7 linked regions of the Ovis aries genome follow. The protein of the gene in region 2 interacts with the protein of the main gene of each other region in a pairwise test. Links are inferred from orthologs where the notes say so. Each region holds a gene or a part of one and is shown on either strand. Other genes may lie near its edges.

What was found.
Region 1: the proteins of PRKAB2 (region 2) and TASOR2 interact in binary tests that used the Homo sapiens proteins (3 or more experiments, as listed by UniProt). The link is inferred for Ovis aries from reciprocal best matches to the Homo sapiens genes PRKAB2 and TASOR2.
Region 3: the proteins of PRKAB2 (region 2) and GRN interact in binary tests that used the Homo sapiens proteins (3 or more experiments, as listed by UniProt). The link is inferred for Ovis aries from reciprocal best matches to the Homo sapiens genes PRKAB2 and GRN.
Region 4: the proteins of PRKAB2 (region 2) and RHEBL1 interact in binary tests that used the Homo sapiens proteins (3 or more experiments, as listed by UniProt). The link is inferred for Ovis aries from reciprocal best matches to the Homo sapiens genes PRKAB2 and RHEBL1.
Region 5: the proteins of PRKAB2 (region 2) and PSMD11 interact in binary tests that used the Homo sapiens proteins (3 or more experiments, as listed by UniProt). The link is inferred for Ovis aries from reciprocal best matches to the Homo sapiens genes PRKAB2 and PSMD11.
Region 6: the proteins of PRKAB2 (region 2) and RBPMS interact in binary tests that used the Homo sapiens proteins (3 or more experiments, as listed by UniProt). The link is inferred for Ovis aries from reciprocal best matches to the Homo sapiens genes PRKAB2 and RBPMS.
Region 7: the proteins of PRKAB2 (region 2) and PYGM interact in binary tests that used the Homo sapiens proteins (3 or more experiments, as listed by UniProt). The link is inferred for Ovis aries from reciprocal best matches to the Homo sapiens genes PRKAB2 and PYGM.

The regions. Positions count from the first base shown.
Region 1 is NC_056066.1:42,517,827-42,521,326, forward strand, and holds part of TASOR2 (protein TASOR 2), read right to left. Parts: coding exon 540-3,500; intron 1-539.
Region 2 is NC_056054.1:98,151,187-98,155,318, reverse strand, and holds the start of PRKAB2 (5'-AMP-activated protein kinase subunit beta-2), read left to right. Parts: upstream 1-1,332; 5' UTR 1,333-1,474; intron 1,475-1,677; exon of another isoform or gene 1,678-1,737; 5' UTR 1,738-1,764; coding exon 1,765-1,917; exon of another isoform or gene 1,918-3,454; intron 3,455-4,132. UniProt on the Homo sapiens protein: Non-catalytic subunit of AMP-activated protein kinase (AMPK), an energy sensor protein kinase that plays a key role in regulating cellular energy metabolism.
Region 3 is NC_056064.1:43,892,553-43,894,843, reverse strand, and holds the end of GRN (progranulin), read right to left. Parts: coding exon 2,202-2,291; intron 2,111-2,201; coding exon 1,865-2,110; intron 1,629-1,864; coding exon 1,395-1,628; intron 1,293-1,394; coding exon 1,062-1,292; intron 972-1,061; coding exon 834-971; 3' UTR 501-833; downstream 1-500. UniProt on the Homo sapiens protein: Secreted protein that acts as a key regulator of lysosomal function and as a growth factor involved in inflammation, wound healing and cell proliferation. Regulates protein trafficking to lysosomes, and also the activity of lysosomal enzymes.
Region 4 is NC_056056.1:137,161,685-137,165,970, reverse strand, and holds the start of RHEBL1 (GTPase RhebL1), read right to left. Parts: upstream 2,801-4,286; 5' UTR 2,601-2,800; coding exon 2,549-2,600; intron 1,939-2,548; coding exon 1,867-1,938; intron 1,532-1,866; coding exon 1,464-1,531; intron 1,193-1,463; coding exon 1,110-1,192; intron 1,020-1,109; coding exon 963-1,019; intron 763-962; coding exon 715-762; intron 379-714; coding exon 297-378; intron 126-296; coding exon 36-125; 3' UTR 1-35.
Region 5 is NC_056064.1:17,480,655-17,484,154, reverse strand, and holds part of PSMD11 (26S proteasome non-ATPase regulatory subunit 11), read left to right. Parts: intron 1-1,173; coding exon 1,174-1,298; intron 1,299-3,500.
Region 6 is NC_056079.1:25,712,936-25,716,435, forward strand, and holds part of RBPMS (RNA-binding protein with multiple splicing), read left to right. Parts: intron 1-966; coding exon 967-1,005; intron 1,006-2,244; coding exon 2,245-2,307; intron 2,308-3,500.
Region 7 is NC_056074.1:39,445,366-39,449,643, reverse strand, and holds the start of PYGM (glycogen phosphorylase, muscle form), read left to right. Parts: upstream 1-1,478; 5' UTR 1,479-1,547; coding exon 1,548-1,790; intron 1,791-2,854; coding exon 2,855-2,956; intron 2,957-3,043; coding exon 3,044-3,122; intron 3,123-3,206; coding exon 3,207-3,310; intron 3,311-3,688; coding exon 3,689-3,820; intron 3,821-4,278. UniProt on the Homo sapiens protein: Allosteric enzyme that catalyzes the rate-limiting step in glycogen catabolism, the phosphorolytic cleavage of glycogen to produce glucose-1-phosphate, and plays a central role in maintaining cellular and organismal glucose homeostasis.

The sequences.
Region 1 (3,500 bases), on a different chromosome or scaffold from region 2:
AAATAAATACTTAGAAATCATATTTAAATGATACGAAATTGGAGCCATCAGCGTCTCCCAGGAGACCGTCTCTGGCTCAGCCACCTGGGGAGCTTCATGAGGCTGCCCTTCCTCCCTTAGCCACCCTCCGGGCGGTGGAGAAATGCTCTCTAAAGCACGGCTGCTCTTTCAGAAGCACTCCTCAGCGCCTTCCAGGGGCCTAGGGTGGTCGTCTCAGTGCTGCTGTATGATCCTTTGACCCGATGGTGACCACTACACTTTGGGAGGCCCTCTCTACTCTCTACCCTTTGGGGAGCCTCAGGCCTGGAGGTGCTCAGTGACCAGGGCGACACGGGGAGGACCCCCAGGAGGCAGGCACATAGGACCTTACCCTGCTCTGTAGTGGCACTGGGGACAGGGAAAGACTGAGCTGAGAAGGTATAATACCACATCGTGGCTGCTTTCTGAAGCTGAGAATGCTGTATTACTAAAAAAAAAACCCAAAAACTTGGACCTGCAATCAAAGTAATAAAAACTGAAGGAAAAATCTGGCACCTTACCTTTGTTCTTACAAAGAAGGACTTGTCTTCAGTCTCTACGAGGTGGAAGAGGAAGGTGCTGGAACACGCCTCCCTCACCACTCGCTCCAGCTTGACGCGCAGGCTGGAGCACAGGTCGGCCACCAGGTCCTCGTAGGAGGCGGGCTGTGGGCTGCAGACACACAGTTCACTGGGCATGGCCGCTCCCAAAGCCACAGGTGGCTCCGTGTCCTGGACCAACTGGCGGCTGCTCAGCATCACCTTGTTGAACTCGGCATACTCACTGAGAATGACAGCAATGTCGTTGCGTGAGTCTTTCAATGTACTGTTGTATTTCAGCTTGTGGAGGTGGAAGGAGGCGGTCTGATTCTGGTCTGAGTTTGTGAGGTGATTTCTACCATGGCCACACCCCTTCTTCCAGGAGGAGGAGCGGTCCACATGGTTGGGCATCTGATGCACGACTGTCACCACAAGAGGACTCCTGCTTCGGGAGGTGGGAGGCAGCCCCGGGCATGTGGGCATTGGGGTCCCAGGAAAAGCCCCGGTGGTGACCTGGGGTGGAGGCTCCTTTGGAAAGGCACCAGGCAAAAGGGCAGAATGCCGAGCGGCTCCCATCTTCACAATTTGTTTCAGTTTGTGTGCAAAACGCAGGTGCTCCAGGTCTAAAGTGTTCTGGGTGAGGTCATCTGTTCCCTGCCAGGTGTCCACCCAGGAGCTGAGCAAGCCACACGGGACCGTGCTGCTGGGGCGCCGCCTCAAGCCGTGCAGGGTTCTTGGTGTGTCTCTGAGCTCTCTGGTCACGGTGAAGTTGGCGTAGCTCCTGGGGACCCCACAGACATCTCGGATTTGGACGTAACAGGGCACACACGTAGCTTCCTTCTTCAGTCCACCCAGCCAACTTCTGGGAGGAACGCTGGTCTCCAGCCCTGGAACCTGGCTCGCGTAGCCCCAGTCATGGTCATCACTGGTGTTCAGGCTCAGGAAAGCATCATAACTGTCTTTGGATGCACCTTCTCTTTTCCCGGTGTGGCCATATTGTGAAGCACGGGACTCTTCTGTGTTGTATCTGGGGTGTCCATACTCACCCACAGAGTCCTGATCTGAGTCTCCAGAAAGGGGTTCATAGTAGATGTCAGAGATCACGCCCACACCCTTGCCTCCACCTGTGCCTGCTTCGCCCGTACTCACACCTTGCAGCTGCTCTTCAGAGACCCCACCAACAGGAGGTGCACCAGATCGGGGAGCAACGGACACAGAGGGCTCTGGACTGGCACTCTCGCCGTGGGCTGCAGTACCTGGGTGAGCATCAGCCTGCAGGTACGTGGGGAGAAGTCCGCCATGGAGCAGATCCCATACTGCACACGGTGACCCCTCCTGCAGCAGACAGGCTGACTCCTGTCTGCCTTGTGGAGAGGTGGTGAGCAGCTGGGGGCCAGCACCTCCTGGATCCGCGGCTCTTCCCTGTAACTCGGCTCCACTATCCTCACTGTTGAGCAGGTGGGTCATTCTGACAACCGGGACTTCCTGTGTCGGGAACCCTGTCCCTGTGTCGCTGGGGCCTGTGCTGTTTGCTGTGGTAGCCCCGCCTGAGGGGAGTGCAGGCTTGGGGAGCTCTGGGTGCCCGTGGGTCTGCACACCCTCAGCTCCAGCAACTGGGTCGGAGCGCAAGGACTTAACCAGGATGTAACAGCATTCCTGTGTTTTCACATTACTGCTCAAAACATCTTCAGGAAGGCTCTGAGTGCTGGTCACCACAGCACCTGGTGTGGCTGTAGAAACAAACATGTCAGCAGAAGACTTGTTTTCAGGGATCTCTGCAGGACTGAAAGGCTCACTGGTCTCCAGGACACGATGATGTGAGTGGGGGCTGCAGATCTCCACACCCGTGGGCTGCAGTGGGTATCCTGATGATACCAGGTTTTCAAGAGAATCTCCGTACGTGACACCGCAGGCAGGCTGGGTTACTGTGGCATCGAAATCTGGCCCCTTTCCTGAGAGAGAGAAGCCCTCCCCACATTTACTTGGGCCAGTTTCCTCAGTGACGTCACCAGGAAGGATTAAGAATCTACCTTTTCTTCCTGCGTGGTTCTGTAATTGTAGAGGTGTTTCAGCAGAAAGCTGCATCTGCTGTACCTGAGCTGAGTTATCTTGTTCCACTGGATGGGTGGCAGTAACAAGAGAACTTTCCTTTTCTGTTTCGGCCAAATCTCCTGATTCGACCTCACAGAGCCTGGTGCTTTTCTCACCAAGTGTGTCACGGTGTTTCAGACCACGTGGAGATGTGGCCTGAGTTGGTGGTGCTTCTTCCACTGGTGCCTGGGGGCCAGGGCTGGAAGCGGGTGACACTTCTTCAATCAAGGAACCGAATGGGAAGTCAGAGGCAAGGTGAACTTCCTCCGCAACCTGCCGGGTACATGTTTCTTTAGAAAGTATGAAAGCCACTGTCTGTAAATGATCACCTTTTCCCTCCTTGTTTTCTGCTGGTTTCACAGACGTGTTAGCAGCAGAGTTCACGTCTCTGTTTTCTGTGAAAGTAACCTCTTTGGACATGAGTATTTCCTCTGCCATCTCCTGAAGGTCTACGCAGGGAAGCGAGGCCTCCTGCGGTTGCTCCACTTCACCAGTGGGCGCTTCTTCCCTAAGACTCATGGGTGGTGATAGGGTGAGAGTGAGGTCAAGGTTGGAATCCTCCTCTGATACCTTGAGGCTGACCTCCTCTCTATTCACAGACAGGCCTGCTTCTTTGGTAAATGTGGAATTAAATGGTTTAAAACTAATATTTTCACTGTTCAGACCACTCTTGTCCTTCTTTAGTTCTGAAGAGCCACACAGAGTATTCCTTATTGATGCGATGCAGTTAAGGGAATCCTTTTTTCCCAAGGGGGCAGAGGCTGACAATGGGACTACTTCAACCTGGGACGGCTCTATTATTTCTTCCGAAGAGATGCTCAAGAGATTCTGTGTTGGGAGAAGGAATTCTTG
Region 2 (4,132 bases):
CTGCAAATACCGTTTCTTAGCCTAGAATAGTTTTCTCCTAATTTTGACAATCTGACAAGATTTGTCTAAATATTCCCTCTTCCCTGGGGCCCCACTCTGACTGCTAAGTACTCCCCATAACACTTAGTTTTAACCCCCAGCAATTACCATTATTTCCTTAGCTTTCAATTGCAAGTCCTTATTCTTATTTCTTATTCCTTACAGGAACTCACCTCTCTGGGAAGCTTGTCGAAAAGATGCTACAAAATGAAGACATTTGGCAAACTTGAGACCAGGTGAGGAGGCCGAGAAGAAACCAACACAGCTCCTCCTGGTACGGTGCACCAGAGCCCGGGAAGGGACCCCAAGTATCTTTTGGGAACCATCCTTTCCCCATGGCAGGTCTTTGGGCTCAACCAACCTCTTGATGAAAGTGAAAGAGGAGAGTGAAAAAGTTGGCTTAAAGCTCAACATTCAGAAAACAAAGATCATGGCATCCAGTCCCATCAGTTCATGGCAAATAGATGGAGAAACAGTGGAAACAGTGTCAGACTTTATTTTTGGGGGCTCCAAAATCACTGCATGGTTACTGCAACCATGATATTAAAAGACGCTTACTCCTTGGAAGAAAAGTTATGACTAACCTAGACAGCATATTAAAAAGCAGAGACATTACTTTGCCAACAAAGGTCCGTCTAGTCAAGGCTATGGTTTTTCCAGTAGTCATATATGGATGTGAGAGTTGGACTACAAAGAGAGCTGAGCGCAGAATTGATGCTTTTGAACTGTGATGTTGGAGAAGACTCTTGAGAGTCCCTTGGACCGCAAGGAGATCCAACCAGTCCATTCTAAAGGAGATCAGTCCTGGGTGTTCATTGAAAGGACTGATGTTGAAGCTGAAACTCCAATACTTTGGCCCCCTGATGGGAAGGGAAGAGCTGACTCATTGAAACGAGCCTGATGCTGGGAAAGATTGAAGGCGAGAGAAGGGGACGACAGAGGATGAGATGGTTGGATGGCATCACAGACTCAATGGACATGAGTTTGAGTAAACTCCGGGAGTTGGTGATGGACAGGGAGGCCTGGCGTGCTGCAGTCCATGGGGTTGCAAAGAGTCGGACACGACTGAGCGACTGAACTGAACTAAAATAAACCTAAGATTCCGGCGCAGGCTTGCCAGGGAAGCGGTCCTGGCCCCGCACTCCGCTGACTGCGGCACTGGCGCCCCCGCCTGGCGCTGGAGGCTGCGCGCGGCGGCCCACCACCGAGCCGGCGGCGGCTAGAGAGGCCGGCTGGCCCCGGGCGCCGTCGCGGCGCGCCCGCAGGGAACGCGCGCGGGGCGGGCCCCACGCCACTGATCTTGTAGCCATTTTAGGAGGAAACCCGGCTCGCTAGCCCGGGGCGAGGCTTCAATTTCGATAACTTTATTGGTGGCTTTATCCGCAGAACAGCCATCTCACCATTGATCCCGGGAGGAGGGAGAGCATCGCGGGAGGTGATTGGGGTGGGGGCGCCCCTGGACCGTGAGCGCGGGGGATGCGGGGGAGTTCCCGAAAGGGGGTTTCTTGAGCAGCGGGCCTCTAGAGGGTTTGGGGGTTCCGGGTGTTCTTGGAGGCCAGGGAGGAAGAGGTCCCCCAGGCACGGCTTCCCTGGGGCGGGGATTCCCTCGCCCGGTTCCCCAGACGCAGGGGCGGGGCCGGGGGCTCCCCTGACAAGACTGCCGGGGTGTCCCTTGCCCCATGCTGTTCCCCACGGCAGGTGGCCCCCGACTCGAGCTGCACAGCCATGGGAAACACCAGCGATCGAGTGGCCGGGGAGCGCCACGGCGCCAAGGCTGCGCGCGCCGAGGGCGCCGGCGGCCATGCTCCGGGTAAGGAACATAAGATCATGGTGGGGAGCACCGACGACCCCAGCGTCTTCAGCCTGCCGGACTCCAAGGTGAGTGTCCCCACGCCCCTAGTTGGTGGCGGTCCTGCAGCAGGCTGGGTGTCAGGGCTCTTCCTCCCTCTTTTGTTTTTTCCTTACCACACTGACCCGAATTAAGGCTTTTAGAATTAAAGGTTTTTTTCTGGGGACGGAGATACTGGGTGGTAATTCTTTTTGCGGTGCTGCCTCAAAATAGGCTAGAGGCGGAGTTCCTGTTACTGGACTCCTGTGTTTGCCACATTTTTAGGATGAGGCCAACACCCCCCCCCCTCCGCCCCCCTCCACCCTTGGTTCTCCTGGATGCCTCTTCTAGAGTATTGATGAATTTGTAGGTTGTGAAAAACTTCAGACTGTAGGTTACCTGAGTTGCTGACCACAGGCGGCAGTTTCTCACATTTGCCCTAAGGTAGGTAAGTGACTTTTCCCTGAACACTTCTACTTCTTTGTATTAGTCTCATTTTTGCCCTTCTAAGAGATCAGCACTTCAGATCCTCTTCCTCTTTGGCATGACTGTGAGCAGCAACCCCTTGCTTATATGAATACTTTTTCCTAGTCCTGGGGATCAATAAAGGACATTATTTGGTTGACTGCTTAGTTTTCATCTCATACTTTATAGTTATGGCTGAGGTGCTTTTTTTCATGTCCAGCTACTTCTTAAGTGGGAGAGCAAATAAGTTGAGGATTTCTTCACTTCCTGGTAGTACTTCATAATATTACCAAACTGAAAAAGGACCACCCACAGTTTCCCTGAAGACCTGGCTGTCAGTCTAGGACTTTCAGGAAAGTGGCAACTTGTGTTCACCCTACAGAAAAGATAGATGGAGCTGACAGCAATAAAATTACATCCAAATGTTTCTAATCACTTTTAGAGCTGTCTGCATTAAATACAGTAATTCCACCTGGTAGTCTGACTGGGATGAAGTAGAAAAATGGAGGGATTGAGGAGATTGGGGTGTGTTTGATGTTATCACTCATCCCTTGCCACACATCTGAGGTTTTATTTTATTTACTCTTGTAAATGTGTGTGTGTGTGTGTGTGTTAGTCATTCAGTCGTCTCCGACTCTTTGCAACCCCATATCCATGGGATTCTCCAGACAAGAATACTGAAGTGGGTTGCCATTCCCTTTCCAGGGGATTTTCCCGATCCAGGGATTGAACCTGGGTCTTCTGAATTGCAGGCAGATGCCTTACCGTCTGAACGACCAGGGTAAATAGAGAGTAATTTTGCTGGGTTGGTAACACATGAAATGTGGATTCTGTTTATTTTCTTGGATCCCAATTGAAAACATAATCACAAAGAGAAGTGAAGGTGATTTCTTGGGGTTTCTTCTCTGTTCCTTTCTTGCTTCTTCCACTTCAGGACTTCTTCCTCAACTCTTGGGCTATCTCCCCAGCCATCTGAATTTACTTCTTCAAAGCTTTCTCAAGGTGATTGTATTTTTATCCATTTCCTACACTGATGACTCAGGATTTAAGTACTGTGTACTTGTCAAACTGTGGCTGCAGTAATCGGTGTCCTGAATAAAAGTCAGGTTGCTCTATCTGAAATGGAGCCTATTTTGGATCATTCTTTCCCTTACCTCAGTCTTGCCATTTGTGAACTAAGATTGGTTCAAATAATTCCCAAGGTCATTTCCAAATCTGAGAGTTTACAGTTGCTCAGTCTATTCTATTTCTTTCCTCAGTGTTTCACTTAAACAGTTTTCAATTGTAATTCTAGTTGTTTTGCCTCTTTTCCTGATGATTTTGCTGACTATTTAACTTGGAGTAAACAATCTCTCTCCTTGTCAGCTGCACTGATGCCTACCACAGAAATGTCATATCATACGTGGAAGGGCTTTCTTCCAAAGCTAGGCATATTAATAGTTTGTAGCTTTCAAATTCTAAAATAATAAAGCATACAAGTAAATGATAGAAACAGTGGCAGAAGGGCCTATATTGCTTCAAATGCCACCCTTCAGTGGACTAGTTCAGTGGTTTTCAATCCTATTTGCACATTAGACTTACTGGGATTTATTTAAACACTTCATGGAAAATCTGAAACATTTTCCATGTTTCAAAGTCAGGAGAGCAGTGTAATGAATCCTATATAACTGTCATCCAGTTTAAACAATGATCAAATCATGAATGAATTCATATCATCTATACCCCAATCCACTCTACCCCCACCAATTATTTTTAAGCAAATCCCAGACCATCATATCAAATATTACTTTACCTATAAGC
Region 3 (2,291 bases), on a different chromosome or scaffold from region 2:
AGCTGTCCGGTGGTATGTGCTGGGTAATGTCTTGGGAGGGACCCGTGTCTGCCTCCGAGAGGGAGGTGAGGGAGGGGGGACCAGAACCTCGATGGGAGGTGCTGGGGAGGAGGGCAGGGTGGGGGGAAGCAGTGCCTGTATAAACGTGGCTGTACATAGAAAGCTCTATCGTGGGAAAGCAGGAGGGGCAACGAGGCCTCAGCTGCTAGCCTGAGGGCCGGGAAGGGAGGGGGCGTTCTAGCGGACCCCTGGGAGGGTAGGGGGTGCTGCTTGCTGACTAGCCCACCTCTGGGCTGCGATGTCACAGGGCTGGAGGCTGGGGCGGCTCCGGGGACTAGGGAGTAATGTGATGGGATCACTGTGGGCAACAGCAAATATAAAACTGGTGAGATGAGCTGCTGTGTGTCTTTCTGTGGGGGTTGGGGAATGTGGCCACTGGATGGGGACCCTGGCTCAGGGGCCCCTGGGGAGGGCAGGCAGAGTGGCCAAATCAGACACTGTTAAGAAAGTGTACAAACTTTATTGCAGCACACATACGCACGCGCTCACACACACACGCACACACACCTGTGGATAGGAAGAGCACCTGGCCACAGGGTTGACAGAAATTGGGGGAGGGGATGGCAGCTTGAAACGTGGCTTTTGCCACAGCCCCCCTCACCTTGGCATAGGGGAGGCCTTAGATTGAGGCCCCACCTCCCAGGGTGATGGGGGACTCAGAAGGGGGTCTGGGAGAATGTGGTGGGGGAGAGGTGCTGGGGAGGCCTGAGCAGTGGGGACCCTCTGAGCAGGGTCCTGAGGGCCGCCAAGTGTCTTCAGTCCTCAGGCCCTCCTCACAGCAGCTGTCTTGGTGTCGGGTCCCTCCAAGGAGCGTCCCAGCGCAGGGCCTCCCGATGGAAGCACTTGGTCCCCTTGGCTCCGCAGCGGAAGCCACTGGGACAGCAGTGACGCCTGTCCCCACAACAGGTGCCCTTGATGGTCAGAGTAGGGGGCGAGAGTTGGACGTGGCAGGACCTGGCCCAGGCCTTTACCCAGCCCCTGGGTTGGGGGGTGGCACTGACCTGGCGGTAGGGGCAGCAGGCCCAGCCCCCTTGGCTGTCTGGGCAGCAGGTCTGGTTATCGTGGCAGAAGTGCCCCGCCCCACATTCCACGTTCCCCGCGCCCACAAGAGGGCCGCTGGCCAGGCGGAGGGCAGGGTGTGCAGGGTCCACCTCCTTCTCACAGGATCGGGCCTTCACATTGCAGGTATAGCCAGCCGGGCAGCAGTGCTGGCGGTCCTCACAGCACACGGCCTATGGAACACAAAAGGGCCTCGCACTCTCACCCCCACTAACGTCCCCTCCCACCTGAGACGGGGCCCCGCCCTGACCAGGACTGGGCAGGTGGGTACTCACGTGTGGCAACTGACAGCAGGCCCAGGCCCCCCTCAGACTCGGGCAGCAGGTCTGCCCCACCGGGCAGCTGGTGTGCTGGTCACAGCCCATGTCTCTGGGGTGGGACGGGGAGGCCCTGCGGGCAGGCACCTTGTCCAGTCCGGTCACCACCTGCTTCCCCCTCTTACAGTGCCCTCCAGCCACACACGCATAGCCCTTCGGGCAGCAGTGCTGGTGGTCCAAGCAGCAGACAGCCTGGGGAGGTGGCAGAAAAGGGTGGTTTAGGCAGCTACTCTGGGCCAGAGCGCTGAGCCCCTGCAGCCCCCAGCCTGCCTCTCCTGCTCGGCTCCTCGAGCTGGGCATGACTGTGACTGAGCTGGGGTCCCCCGTGGGCTGGGCAGAAGGCAGAAGAGCAAGGCAACAGGAGCCTGGCCATGTGCCCAGGCCAGGACACTGCCCCCCTCCCCTAAATCATCCTCCTCCCCAGGCACCTCTGGGGCAGGACAGCAGCCCCACTCCCCAGACGTGAGTCGACAGCAGGTAGTGGAGGAAGGACAGCTGGTGACGTTATCACAGGGGACATCCCCCTCCACGGCTCCGGGGTCCGGCAGGCTGACGTGGGCTGGGGCTTTCTCCATCCACGGCACCCGGCGGGTCCCCTGTTGACACACACCCTTCTCTGTGTCACACCTAAACCCGGACGGGCAGCAGTGCACGTGGTCCTCACAGCACACGGCCTAGGGTGGCGGGAGAGGGGACAGTGGGCCTGAGGGGACTGGCTGGCGGCTGCCCTCTGCTCAGCGCAGTCCACTCCCCATTCCTCGGTACCTGCACAAAAGGGCAGCAGCCCCAGGCCCCGGACTGTAGGCGGCAGCAAGTGTAGTCGTCTGGGCAGCTCACCTCCATGTCGCACTTGAC
Region 4 (4,286 bases), on a different chromosome or scaffold from region 2:
GCAGCTGCCCCTTGCTCAAGGGCTCATCTCCAGGCTCACATGAGATGGCAGCGGCGCTCTTGCCCATATGAATTTTCCACCCGGGCAATCTCCTGGATCACTTTGGTGAAGATGCCTTGAGTCAGCTGCAAGGGATAAGGATTCAGGGCAAAAAAAAAAATTGGTTGAGTTCACTGCCAATACTACCCAACTCTTAGGTGAATGCCCCACTCCCCCACCATCCCCACCACCAAGCAGTGGCATAAAAAGAAAAACACTGCTGCCCCCACCACCCTCCTACTCTTCAGGCCCAATACCTGATTATTCCGAGCAGATGACTCCATAAATGTTGCACCCCAGGATGCTGCCAGCTTCTTCCCCTCAACAGCCTGGACCTCCCTAGAAGCAAATTCAGGACATGAAAATGAAAAATAGCAATGGGCCCCATGCTCTCTGAAAAATCTTTACAGAAACTAGACTTCCTCTGACTCATCTCATTCCAAGGTTTGGGAGAACGTCTGTGGAAGAAGAAAATACAAGAAAACAAAGGAACCTAGGACTGAGGCTTGAAATATGAAATTATAGCTTTTGAGATAGAAGGATCATTTTGTCTCAACCTTCAAGTTAGAAACGAAGAGGTAAAACAACTGGTTTAAATCAGTGGCAGAGCCAGGACAAGAGCCTGACTCACTCCTAGACACTTTCCTTTGCCTTAAGCTACAGAGATTTCCATACCTGTCTGGAGAGAGATCGGCCTTGTTTCCCACCAGCACCACCGGCAGCCTGGGAGGAGACAGCAGTTACAACAGAATCCCCTCTGTTCCCCATGGACCCCAACCTCCTTCACATCATAGCTGGACAACTCCCCATCAAACCAGATAGGATCGATGTTCCGGCTTCCTCCTTAATTTGGATCAATACTCCCCTCTGCCCTCCGTCTTCCGTGGTGTCCACACTATGTCTTTATCCCCTGTGCCACGTACCGGGTTTTCCCGTGGCCTTCATGTAGCTTTTGGTACAGACTCTCAATGACTTGGAAGCTTTAAACACAAGAAAAGAATCTTACAATTTTATTCTGGGATAGCCCTCAGGTCTTCCCAAGTCCACCACTCTCAACCTCGGTCACTTACCTATGCAGAGAGGTGACAGAATACACAAGTACATAACCATGGACCCCAATGATGAATGAATAGGGCAGAATGCTGTACTCATCCTGACAAGAAACAGAAATATCAATACCTTGATTCACAAGACTCAGATGGCCAAGTTTGGTGGGCTGCATCCTGGGGACCCTCCCTGTGGCACTCCCTACTCCGGTCACTTCTATCCAACAAGTATTTATAGAGTAGCTCCAAACAACACTGCACACTGAAATACTGCTAAAATGCTTTTAATACTGCTTTACAGATGAGCCTCAGAGGCTACCAGACTTCATCTCCCAGGACTGAACTGCCACATTTAGACACCCTACCCCAAACTGGTACCTGCCCTGCTGTGTCCACCAGGTGTAGGTGAAACTCATCTTTGCCAACAGTCACTATCTTGCTGTAAGCTGAAAAGAAAAGAAAACTTGACTGTGAGGTGCCTTGTACGGCGAGCAATCTGTGCCCCTATATATTAACATAGATGGGCCAGGTTCAAGGAGCTCTCCAGGAAACTTAAGATACAATGTTAGGCTTCTTATTGTCTACACATGCACTATCCTGGACTCAGTATCTTGGAAAATGCACACTCTAGCTCCACTCACAGAACAGGATTGATAGAGAAGAGACTCGATTTAATATCTAATTAAATCATCCCTTTGGCACCCGGAAAATCCCAAAGTGTGGCCTTGGGTGGGGCACCTAAGCCCTCCCTACCCCACCCCAAGAGGAGAAATTTACTCACTATTCTCCACAGTAGGATCATAGTCTTCCAGGAACTCTCCCTCCACAAATTGATGTGCTAAAGATGTCTTCCCTGTGGGAAGCAGAGGTAATTGTAGCCAAATCACCCATCCACATTCATTTCCTCTGTCCTTTCGGGCTGTGGCCCTGGACTAAAGGAAACCCCGAATTAGCATCCTAGCCTGTGAATGCCCCATGCAATGCTTTCCCATAGACTCCTTCACCCTCTTTTCGCCCCAGGTCTCTGCACCTTGGCCACCGGATGCATACAGTAGCGACGCAGGAAGCTTTTCCTGCAGTCTTTCCCCACCCAACTCCTGGGAAGATCCGGATTCCCCAGGATTTAGTCAGCCTTGCATCCGACACCTGAGACTTGCCCCACCCAGACCGCGCCCCCGCCACCAAATCCTGCCCCCATCTCCACCCCCCCAGAGTAACGAACGCTGAGGACCACTGTGGTGTTCAAGCAGTAAGCCCATGTATACTCTTCCATGCTCCAGCTTCCTGCCGCCTTGAACACTACCACCACCCCAGCCTTTCCCACTCCAACCTTTCAGTCCTCGCTCTACAAGCTGGTTCTAAGGATGCCACCATTTCTCCCTGGGTCGCCTTCCCGCGGCAGTGCGCCTCCTCTGGCCACAAAGCCGCGGTGCATCGGTGCTCTGCCCTAGAGGGAGACTCACCTACAGAACGGTATCCGAGGATGACCACCTTCCTGTAGCGAACTAACGGCATGGCAGGAGCCGGCCCCGAGGGGCTTGCAGAACTTGGAGCTGAGAGAGCCCCAAGAAGAGAAAGTCGCAGTGCAGTCAGGTGTGGCAACCGGCACAGGAAAGTCGCTCACTCTGAAGCTGCCAGGGGCAAGCTAGAGGGAAACCAAAACAAGCGCCGCGCCCGGAGCTGGCCACGTGATCACAACACAGCAAGACTAAGGCGAGGGAGCCGGGCGACCGGGGAACTACACTGCCGCGCCGCTCAGGGCTCCGCCCCCCAGGCCGCTCGCCATTGGTCCATTAGAAAGGATAGGGGCGGAGCCGTTAGCAGGAGGGAAGGGCGGGCCTCACGTGGAGCGGGAGAAAAAGGAGTTGCGCATGCGCACACTAGACCCGGTTCATTCATAAAGAAACAGAAAGGAACCCGGGGTCCTAGAGGTGTTTGCGCGTTTGCAATCTAGTAATAGTGGCTGCAAAGAATCGTGGATGGAAAAGCGTTGTGGCTGGGCTGGAATTTATGGTTAAAAGATTCTAGGTCTCCCTTTTGCAAGATCTCCGGAGTCCTTGGGTAGGGAAAAAAGGCCAAAGTTGTAATATATCCCCCTCCAAACTTTAGCCCCAGATATTTTATTGTAAGGTTTCTGTAGTCTTCCAGGATCTAACTTCGGAACTGCGATTCTTATTCCTTGAAAAATTGTTAGAATTTGTGGCCAAGTCCTCTGAGGTTTAGCTGTTATCGTTATCACAATCAAAGCATTTATTTGTTCAACAAATATTTATTAAGCATATACTATATGTTTTAGTTATTGCTCCATCTTGGAAGATAAGAGTGATGAACACAATAGATAAGGTCTCTGAGTTCACAAGCTTAAAATTCAGTTGGGAAGAAACAAACATAAACCAGTAAATGTTAGATAATATTAAGTGCAACAAAAAAAGCAATGTTACAAGGGACTTCTGGGTGGTCCAAGGCAGAGTACTCTTTGTTCCCAATGCAGAGGGCGGGGGTTCAATCCCTGGTCAGGATACTAAGATCCCACATGCTGCAATTAAGACCCTGTGCAGACAAATAAATAAAAATAAAGGGGGGGGGCGGGGAACTGTGATAAGAAATGACGGATTAGTCATTAGTGACACAAATTAGTGGCTTTTCATTTCAAAAGAAGCCCCATTCAAGGTGAAGTTCAAATGACAGTAAGGAGCCAGCTAGGTAAACATTCAGACAGAAGAATCCACCGGCACTAGGATGGAAATAAGTTTGTGAAAATCCAGAAAAGAGAGAAAGCCAGTTAGCCTAAAGTAGATGAAGTCTAAGAGGATCGCAGGTGCTAGCCCATGTAAAGTAGTTTGGGCTAATTCTAAATACCTAGAAAGCTGCTGTTGATGGCTGTTGATGGTGTCATTAAGTAAATTGGGGCATGACATGATCTGAATTGTGTTTCTAAAAGATCTTTCTGACTGTGGAGAATGGATTGGGGTTTGAGAGAAACAGGAGCAAGTGGAACAAACAGGGAGATCAGCTAGGAGTCTGCTATTTGTAGACCAGGTAAGGGGTGAGAGTGGCTTGACTAGAGTGATAGTGATGAATGAATTTCATTCAGAGAATTCGGGGTATGTTTTGAGGCTGAGGTTAAGCTCACTTGCTTGCCGAAGGTATGGATACAGAAGGTGAGGAAAGAAAACACCTAGGTTTAGAGAGAGTTTTACT
Region 5 (3,500 bases), on a different chromosome or scaffold from region 2:
CTCAGTAGGACTTTCGCAGACTTGAAAGGGCATCTAAGCTCTACGTAGGTCAGGGTGACGGGTGGATTCCAGGTGGCAGTGCAGCATGAGCGAGGCCTGGCTGCAGGCATGTGTGCAGTCAGTGTGGGGGTGAATGGAGTGATAGAGTGGGGGAGAATCTGAGGCGGTGGGTGTCCCAAGTCAGGACTGGCGAATGGAGGGAAGGGTGAACTTTCCTACTCTGTATAGAGTTCCTTTTATACCTGACACGGCCCCGTGGTTTCTGTGACTATGCTGACAGATGAGGATTTCAAGACCCCTAATTAGCATCCTCTGGAGGGGCAGGTTTGCTTGTCCTGAATTCAAGTTCTCAGGAGGATGAGTCTACAATTTGAGGCAGTGACACTAAAGTAATTTTAACCTACATTCCAGGAGTACTTCCTTAGTTGGTTAGTTGAAATATTGTCTGATTTTCACTCTTGTTTCTAAAGGTGCCCCCTTAGGATTACTGTGCCACCCTCTTTTCTCACACAAGAGGGGGAGAAGCCTCAGTGGTGGTCACCTTTTTTGTCATGGTTTGACTTGGGGTTTGTAGATTAATGAGGAATTTTAACAGGGTACAGTACAACGTTAGGGGACAGACGCCCTAACTTTCATGTGAAAAACTGATTCAGAAGAGTGCCATGCAAGTTACATTGGGAAAAGACTAAACTGGGCATAACTTTAGGAAGGGAGGAAGAAAGGAACCTGAAATGGAAGGTCTCTGTTGAGATTTCCAGTCTTGGAAATTAGAAAAAAAAAATTTCCTGTAGCTCTATAACCTAATAAATTTGTTGATTGTGGGGAAGTGATTTTGTCCAAGGTGGTTGAGGCATGGCATATTTCCTGTTCTAGAGTACTGCTTTCTGAGAGTGTGAGTACTTTGCTGTACTCATGAGATAGAGAGCCTCGAGCATGTCCCAGGATCCTCACAGTAATCAGTGACCAAGTGGGGAATGGAATACAGATTTGGTGTAAGCTGTTAACTTTCTTGCTACTCTGTTACCTGCTGAGAATGCTTTAAATTCCTATTAAGTTTCCTTTTGACTGCTTCCGGACATAAGTACTGATTTTATTATCTTGGGTCATCTTTTAGTGGGTATTTTGTCCCTAATATTGATGGGTACTTTTTCCTGTCACAATTGCCTTCCGCAGAGCTTGGAGGACTCCTGAAGTATGTGCGACCCTTCTTGAATTCCATCAGCAAGGCTAAAGCTGCTCGTCTGGTCCGATCTCTTCTTGATCTGTTTCTTGATATGGAAGCAGCTACAGGACAGGAGGTAAGCTACTTGAATGACAAAAGAGACAAAGTCTAGTTTGGAGCAAAGTCTTGTTTCAGTGAAGGAAGTGCCTGCCTGCACTGCGGTGGTAATGTGTAAGGGACGGCTGGGAGGACAGCGCAGGACTTATCATGTCAGTTTCTCTTTGTTGCAGGGCATTTGATACTTTGGGTCTGTTCCATGCTTTGCTTTGTAAGTGGAGATTGTCAGTGGTCCCTGGAATCCTCATTACATCAGGGTCACAAACTGATTCTTGTCTTTGAGGTATTGTATTGCTACACCTTTGTAATGTTTTCTGTGTCTGTGGTACCTCTGTGTCACAGAGCTCCTAGTGAGCACTAATTAAGTCTCGTGGCATCCCTTCCTGGCATGTCTTGTATGCATTTATGCCTTTATTGACTGAGCATCCATCTGTCTGTCTCGTGTGTCCTGAAGTGACTGGTATACCTGTCCATGTCCTCTACGAGTTCAGACTAGACCCTGAGCTGTACCGAAAAGTGTTTCTTTGGAATCGCTGAGCCTCTTCCAGTTCTTTGCAAAGAATTACTGTTTGCAATTCCGGAGAAGGAGACGCTACCACAGTTAAAACTCATTCTGTAAAAAGTGGTAGATTCAAGCAGGGTGTGTGGTGGTTGCTTGAACCTGTTTGTAGGAAGAATACAGTTGTTGTCTTTTCTGTATTGCTCAGCAGTCATTGAATGCGTGCTGTGTTAGCACTGTTACAGTGCTAGGGATTCATTTGTAACGTACAGTGCTCTCATGGGGATTATATTTTAATGAGGAAGGCAGATAATGAACAAATATGTAAAATGTCAAGTGGTATAAAGGCAGGGGTAGGAATTGGTAGGTAGTTACATGTCTCATTATTTGCCATGGCGCCTGTGGATGTAAAAGATGTGAAGGGGCTTAGTGGCATATTGAATAAACAGTGGGGAACTTCAGAAACCTAGCACTTAAATGGATCTTACTTTGAAATCATGTCGTTTGTAAAATCTGGTTTCTTTCCTTAATGATTCTTTGAAGCCTAGTTTAAACACCATAAACTAACTTCATTGTAGAAAATTTATTTCTAGAGAAGTCTTCAAGTTCATTTGTTTTTCACAGAACTGTTTCATGATAGTAGATCAAAAATAGATGTGTAGATGGCTGCCTTTTGAACCAAAGCATTAGACTTATTTTTATGAATAATTTAAAAGAAAAGGTGGTGTTTCAAAGAGGTGTTACTCTTGTGTAACCCTGACTTTTAAAAAAAAAAAATTGTATTTGTACTCATGAAAAAGTGATGCCACATTTTTTGTTTGAATTAGGACTCCTTAGAATGAGTTGAACAATAAATGTTAGCTTGAAACAGACTAATAAATGTTACTTGGAACATTTTAGGCAGAAAAAATTAATTATCCAAGCTGCTTCTTTGACTGAACTCTTGGAATTTGTCTCTTCCTGTAACTGCGCTGGCTCAGTGGATAGGACTACATTTGTTTGATGGTCAGTTCTCCTCCTCCTGTATCCACATTATCCAAATCATAATTTGGTGCTCTCCTGTAATTGGCTTGTGGGATTTACTGGCCTTTGTCTTGTGGCTCCATGTCTGGTTAGGCCCTCCTTTTAACTGTGTGTGTACATTGTTATCCTTCATTGTACATTATTTTCTTGTCAACTAGAGGCTTGTCTTACCCTAGGGTGAAAGGGAGCACTCTTACAGATTGTGCCTTTTTATTGTCAGTGTCGTGTTAGTGCTGAGTAAGACCTGTTGATCTTTTTTGTTTGTTTGTTTTTATTGATTAGTAGTCTAGCTTTTTATCAAGAGCCAGAGTCTTACTCCACTTAGCAGGTCTTTCAGTAATTTTTGTGGATTACAGGTTATTTGCTTGGTTTGGAGTAAATTATGAACCATCCAGATGGTTCTGTCTGCACCTCAAAGTCAACATAGCAACGTCAGCACCCAACTATTTATTAAATTCTGTCAGTGCAACTCTCTCCAATCTATTCTCCACCTCTTTTTGTATCTGTTCTCTATGTACAACTGCCATCGAGTTTGGGTTCTAATTATTTCTTCTTTTTTTTTTGGAGGTATTGTTCATGTACAGTGAGTTCTAATTATTTCTTAGACTACTGCAAAAGTCTTGTACCACCATTTTGAGAGATATCCTACCCAGTAACCCTCTCAACATCTTATTCCTCTCTGTTCCCCCCTGACTTGAG
Region 6 (3,500 bases), on a different chromosome or scaffold from region 2:
GGAAACCAGGAGGGATCAGAAAGGGAGTGAAAGGGAGTGTTTCCATCTTCCTTGAGGATGAGCTGGAGTAAAACCCAACAGGGAATTTTTGCATCTCCCAATCCTAATACCAGCATGAAAACAGATGGCTGCAATAAATAAGCAAAATAACAGAATTTAGCATTACTGCCTGTTTAACTTTTCCAGGCAATTTTGAAATTTTCATTGACAAGTTCTACTAAGTACACTATCAGTGTTTTGTTGTTGTTTTACAGCAAATATATTTTTCAGTGTGAACAAGTGAATAAGTGTGAACAAGTCATCACATACTCTACTTAACTGCCTTTCTTCTGTCTCTTAATTGTGTCCACATCTTTGCCACCCCATGGACTGTGGCCCGCCAGGCTCCTCTGCCCATGGAATTTCCACGGAAGAATACTGGAGTGGAGTGGCTTTTATCCTATGTATAAAATGGAAAAGACCTTCTGTTGACATAGATACCGTTTTCCAACTGTTTCCCAATTGCATAAGAACATAGAAAAGAAACGTAAGAGAGTGAGTTTCAGGGCTTGATCTCTTTTAGGCCCAAGTGTGGGCTTCCCAGGTGGCTCAGTGGTAAAGATCCACCTGACCGTGCAGGAGACTTGGGCGCTATCCTTGGGTCGGGAAGATCCCCGGGAGTCGGAAATGGAAACCCACTCCAATACTCTTGCCTGGAAAATTCCATGGACAGAGAAGCCTTTCAGGTTACAGTCCAGGGGGTTGCAAAGAATTGGACATGACTAAGCATACAGCACATATATATATATACTTAGGCATATACATTGTGTGTGTGTATAAAACTTGTTTTATAGTTAACAGACATTTGTAGGAAGAGTTGGTCAGTGGTCATAAAGGACTCATTGTCACTTGAGCAAGATGGTATTACAATTGCTTTTTTTCCTGGCGTATTGTTTTTGTGGTCTAAATCTGGTTCTTTATTTTCAGGGCTACGAGGGTTCTCTTATAAAGCTCACATCTAAGCAGGTAAGCATTTCAAACTTGCACATAAGTGATGACTTATAGAATAAATTTTGATTGACTTTCTTCAGGAATGTCACAAGGGCTCAACATCCTTTTTTTTTAAATTTCCATTAAGATTTATTTTTTTATTTTTTTGCTCTAAAATTAAGGGTGAGATCAGTTAAGAATTAGCAGAGGAAAATGATTCCTAATTCCAAAGCCTCCAGCTAGAGTGTCTGAGACTATCCTCAAGGAAGGCAAATATAATGCCTCCAGCATGGTTATATTGGGATTGATCTGTATCTTCAAAAGAAATTATTGTCTAGATTCACTTTTACTGCCAATTTTTTTTTAAAAATACAGTTAAATAGTCAGACTTTTCATTCACAGTCAGTATGAGAAGTTGATGGTAAAGAATCAGGCTCTGTCTCAAACCCTTAATAACCACATGCAGAGTCTTAAGTCTAGAATGGCGCATAAAAGGCACAGGTGCAGAATGGAGGTAGTAATCAGTGACCCTGATAGCGGCTTCAAGGGCCTTGAAATGTTTTGGCTGTGCTTTTTTTTAATCCTGAGCAACCGGCATCTCACTTTGGGTCACTTTTCGTCTCAATACAGTATTCTCTGGTTCATCAGGAATAGGCTGTGTTGCAACTATCCTTCTGGACTCAAAGATACTGAGTCCAAAGCAATTAGGAGTCCTCTCTTGAGTTGGAACAGTATGGTTTACACACCTAATTAAACACAGAACTTTTTAAAAACATCCCTTGGGATTTGAGATTAAAATGTTCATTATATAATTTTGATCGTGCAGTGAGACTACAGGGCTTTTATCACTGTGTCATTATATTCCTTGCACTTACAGTGTACCAAAAGGTGATTCGGTTCTCTTTGCATTTTAAACGATGAAGATGCTGAGGTACAGTGAGTTCGATGTAGGACAGTAGAGTCCCTCCACCCAAGTTTCCCTCTGTTCCCTGGTTCACTGCTGCTCACCTTCCAGCCCCTTCTAGACTTAATTTTTTTAATGATTCTCTAAATCTCCAGCTGTCCCTTGAAGAACCACCCTCACCATCCCTTTGATCCATGTTAGAAATTTGGCTAAGCCACTGAGTCATGATTCTTCTGGACTGGCTTTCTGATTTCTGCCCATTGCCTGCGGTCATTTCTTTATCTGAGCTCTTTGGTTTGATGTCATCTTTGACCCAGAAACAGAGACATCCCCTGATATTTTTTTCTTCATATTTCTCTTTCTTTCCTTAGCCCGTAGGTTTTGTCAGTTTTGACAGTCGCTCAGAAGCAGAAGCTGCCAAGAATGCTTTGAATGTAAGTACGAATGATGTTCATCTTCGGGGGTTTCCTTATGAGGTAAAGGGAAAGTAATAGAACCTCTTTGGACAGGAAAGCAAATGGAAGGGATATGACTACTTGATCTAAGAGGAACCGACTCTAGTTAGCCGCATAAAGAGATTTTGCCTAAAATTGTGGTTAGATGTGCAGACTATTAAATAACACTTTGCTCGTCTCTAGCCCTTACTGTAATGCTCAAGATACCTGATGCTGGGGATTTTATTTTAATTCAGCCCAATCATATCCCATGGTGGTGTGCAGTTTACTTCAGCCCCCATTATATCCTCAGTGGCTAAGCCCAAGTCAAGAATAGAGAAAGATCTTGGCTTTCCTTAACACAGGAGGCTTTTAAGTTGTTTGGCTTTTAAGGGCTTCCCTGTCTGTCCAGTGGTGCAGACTCTGTTCCCAACGCAGCAGGCACAAGTTCCATCCCTAGTCAGGGCTGCCTAAAAGTGTATTGTTTAAAAGGTATGTGACTTTAAAAAAAAGTTGTAGTCTTTATTCTGATTGATTTAAAATTTGCATATACTACTTCCCCAGAAGACATTCAGCATTGTGGTGTATAATAAAGGATTTCCTTCTCCAGTGCATGAAAGTGAAAAATGAAAGTGAAGTTGCTCAGTCATGTCCAACTCCTAGCGACCCCATGGACTGCAGCGTACCAGGCTCCTCCGTCCATGGGATTTGCTAGGCAAGAGTACTAGAGTGGGTTGCCATTGCCTTCTCCGATAATAAAGGATAGGCAACTACAATTGAGTAGAGATAACCTGTATTTGGTTTGAAAGCATTTTGTTTCCCATATTTTTAAGACTTTTTACCAGCTTTAATTTAGTAAGATTTTTTTCCCTCCCTTTGGTATGTTTTTTTTAAACAAAAACCAAAAGCAATTTAAGGGGAATCAACCCGGGACAAGGTGGTAGGAAGCAGAATTTAGTTCTGGGCGCCAAGGCCTGATCCAGGTGAGGCGTCTCAGTGAAGAGCCTGGCTCCATCCCTCTCCAGACAGTTGACTTAAGCGGCTATGAATGAGGTGTGAGTACAGCTGCCAGGAGTGTTGGAATACTTCTTGGAGGGTCGGCTTATGTGAACTTGTGGCTGTGGGTCCTGAAGGTGTTCTCCCAGCTGTTTCTCGGCGCCTGGAGGCCCAGGGACCCTGTGGTGAGGGGGGCT
Region 7 (4,278 bases), on a different chromosome or scaffold from region 2:
CCTGGCCAGAGAACTAGATCCCAACATGCCGTAACTAAGACTTGGCACAGCCAAAAAACAGGAACAAAGCAGGATCTGTGACCAACCTGCTGCTGCTGCTGCTAAGTCACTTCAGTCGTGTCCAACTCTGTGCGACCCCATAGACGACAGCCCACCAGGCTCCTCCGTCCATGGGATTTTCCAGGCAAGAGTCCTGGAGTGAGTTGCCTTCTCCGTATGACCAACCTAAACAGCATATTAAAAAGCGGAGATATTACTTTGGCAACAAAGGTTCATCTAGTCAAAGCTATGGTTTTTCCAGTGGTAGTGTATGGATGTGAGAGCTGGACCATAAAGAAAGCTGAGCGCCGAAGAATTGTTGCTTTTGAACTGTGGTGTTGGAGAAGATTCTTGAGAGTCCCTTGGACTGCAAGGAGATCAAACCAGTCCATCCTAAAGGAACTTTAGGAACTGCGTGGCCCTAGGCGGGAGAAATGAATGGGAGAAGGCCTTCACTCACCTGCGGCATGGGGAGACTTGATACCATTGTGTGTGTGTGTGTGTGTGTCTTGTGCCTGTGTCTCTGTGTGTGTCTGTGTGTATGTGTGTGTATGGACTGCTTCAGTTCTCCTACCCCTGTGGGCCACAGGACTACAGTTCCCAGGGGCCCCTGCTCCAGGCTGGTGGCCCCTAGCCAAAGCTGGCCTGTAATCTGACCATCCCTCTTGAAAGGTCAGTTCAGAACTCCTTGAGAGACAGCAACAGGGGGAGCTCAGAGTGGCTGGACTTTGGTGGGGGATGGGGTGGGGGCAGTGGCCCTGCCTCAGGCGACCTCTCCTGGAACTGAGAATCCCGGTCCCCCTTTTTTCAGATGCCCAGGGTCCTCCGCTAGCTTCACCTTTTCTGTTCTGGGCACCCTGATGCTCTGCGCAGGTGACCTTCAGCCACAGCATATGTCCTCCCCACCAAAGGGCAGGGCCACCATAGCAGCTTGACCAGAGAGCATCCTGCCCGTGGTGTGCAGCCTGTTGTGTGAAAGTCGAGAACCGAAGCCAAGCTGCTCTGCTGGAGGCTGGGCCTCCTGACACCTGTCCTCCTCGACAGCCTCCTTGGCCTCTCCAAGGAGCCCTGATTGAGGGCCCACAGTCAGGCCCCATCCTTCATCCATAATCCGAATTCAGGGCAGCCTCAGCCAAAGTCACAGCCCAGCCGCTCCAATCAAATCTCAGGCCTCTCAAGCCAGCACTCTGCCTGCTGCTTCCTGACTCCGACCCTGCACAAGGCAGGCCCCAGTGCCCGTGCACGAGGCCTGGAGGAAGTGGGTCAGTGCAGGGCTGCGAAGGAGCCAGGCCGGCCCTGGCCCTGCCCTATCCCTCCTCTCCTCCACTCACCCCAAAATAGCTCCCTGAGGAGCCGGGCCAAGACCCTCCCATCGAGGGAAGGGGTGGGGCAAGCTGCCTGGAGCCAGGCTTTAAAGCACCAGCCGGCTGGGGATCTCCACTCCCTGGCTGGAGGCACCACTCAGGCCGCCCGTCTGCACAGTCAGTCCGGCCCACCCTCCCTCAGCCATGTCCCGGCCCCTGACAGACCAGGAGAAGAGAAAGCAGATCAGCGTGCGTGGCCTGGCCGGTGTGGAGAATGTGACCGAGCTGAAGAAGAATTTCAACCGGCACCTACACTTCACCCTTGTGAAAGACCGCAATGTGGCCACCCCACGAGACTACTACTTCGCACTGGCCTACACGGTGCGCGACCACCTCGTGGGCCGCTGGATCCGCACGCAGCAGCACTACTATGAGAAGGACCCCAAGGTGCCGCTTGGGGCACCCCGGGTGGGCAGTGGGCTGGGGGGCCCTGCCTGGGGCCTGGGAGATCTTGAGCGAATGACAGGCCCTTTCTGGGGTCAGGACTTTCTGCAGCAAAAGAAAGGGTGCCTCCGGGTTCCTGAGGTTGGATGAAAGGGGTGCCAGGTGCAATGGGTGCTGGAACCACCCAGGGGGAGAAACCTGGAGTCGGGGGCAAGTCAGGGGCCTCGGGTCCGGTAGGCTGGTTGCAAAGGCTCAGCGCTCAGTCAGAGAATGGAGAGGCTGCTGGGGGGTGGGCAGGAAGACCCCGCGGCCTGGGTTGGATCCTAAGTGGAAGGATGTTCTACTGAACGCGTGTGTGGTGTGCCGGTGTGCCGGGTGAGGCGCATCTGGGGTGGCGATATCAAGTATCTGCTGGGGTCACTGGTAAAGGTCAGCAACCTGACACTGCTGGGCAGGGGTGGGGGAGGGGAGGGGCGGGAACCCAGGAAACCAGGAGACTGGGCACCACACCGTCAGCATCCTGGATACAGCAGTCTCTCTCTCCAACCCCCTTCTTGGGACTGAGGCTTGAGGGCCAAGGGGAGCTGGGCACTGCAAGGGAGGGAGATGGCTGACTCTAGCCCTGAGTCATTGTGTGACCTTGAGCCAATGACTTCTCTCTCTGGGCCTGGCCTCCCCTTTTCGGGAGCTCTTGGTGGTGCTTCCCTGTGTCCTGACTTCCTGATGGGCTCTTGGCAGGACTGCGCGCGAAGGAAGGGGTTCCCAGCTCTCCTAAGCACCTCAACCCCCTGAGGTGGATATGGCCCCATTTTTCAGATGAAGAAACTGAGGCTCAGAGAAGAAAAGTGAATTGTCCAAAGTCAGAAGAAATGCTGGGACCAGTATCTTACCTGCTGGGTCCCAAAGCCTGAGAAGGCAGGAAAACTGGAGGCAGGGCTGGAACCCGCTGGGGCCTAGGAGTGGGGCAGGAGGTATGAGAGGTGCAGGCCCAGCCGGGCCTGGCTGAATGTCAGGGGGCGGCCTTGACCCTCCCTCCCCTCCCCCTCCCCGTCTATTTCTCCGGACAGAGGATCTACTACCTGTCTCTGGAATTCTACATCGGCCGGACGCTGCAGAACACCATGGTGAACCTGGCGCTGGAGAATGCCTGTGACGAGGCCACCTATCAGGTGCGTAGGGGTGGGCACGCCTTCAGGACTGGAGGGCTGACCTGCTGGCCCTTGGCCCTGACTTCTGCTATACCCTCCCACCTCTAGCTGGGTCTGGACATGGAGGAGCTGGAGGAAATCGAGGAGGACGCAGGGCTGGGCAACGGGGGCCTGGGCCGGCTGGCGGGTAAGTGAGCGGGGCGCCAGGGCACTGGGCAGAAGTGTTCCTTTATGTTGGGTCTCTGATATCCACCTCCTTGCACACCCCTAGCCTGCTTTCTGGACTCAATGGCAACACTGGGCCTGGCTGCCTATGGCTATGGGATCCGCTATGAGTTTGGGATTTTTAACCAGAAGATCTCTGGGGGTTGGCAGGTGAGTAACCTTGGGCCCTGACCTTGTGGTTATGATGAAGATGGCTATTTGTTCATTCATCTGCACATAGATCCAGAAGCAGCCCCAGCAGCCTGGGTGGAGAGCATCTTTGCCCCTTCCCCCTGGCCCCAAGCCAGCTGTCAGCTCCTGGGACAAGAGGTCCACGGCTGTGGAATGTCTCAGACTCTTATGCACACACCGAGCCCCCTTGGATCTTCCACCAGACTGGGGGCCCACCTACCGCAGAGCCGGTCATTCACGCCCTCCCTCTATAGGGCACACCAGGGCTGCGGGCTCCTGCTACACCCACCACCTGCTGTGGTGTGAGCCTAGCTCTGACTCTGCCTTCCTTTCTCCCGTGACCCACCTGCGGCTCAGATGGAGGAGGCTGATGACTGGCTTCGCTACGGCAACCCCTGGGAGAAGGCCCGCCCTGAGTTCACCCTGCCGGTGCACTTCTATGGCCGAGTGGAACACACCAGCCAGGGGGCCAAGTGGGTAGACACACAGGTGAGGGGGAAGCCAGGGAGCAGGGGGAAGATCTAGTGAGGTGGAGGGGAGGACTGGAGGTTCTGGAGGAAACAGGGAGAAGCAAAGAAAGAGCCTGGAAGCTACTGGACAGAGTGCAGTTTTATATCGGAGGCCACTGAGCTCAGAGGAGTTAAGTGACTTACTTGAGGTCACACAGGTGGAACCCAGAGAGGCTGGAGACAGGGTCACAGGGGAGCCAGACCACGTGAGGAGCTGGGAGGAGGAGAGACACTGCCCTGCTCTACCACTGCTCCTCGCCGCCCAAAATAATCAGAGTCTCGGCTCCCCTGCATATTTGAGCTGGGGGCTTGATGGGAAATAAACCAACAGCCCAAAAAGGGGGATAGGAGAGAAAACTAAAGCCTAGGATGGGCAACTGACATGTTCAAGGTCATAGAGCAGGTTGGTGGGAGCCTGCCACTAAACCGGGTGTCCAA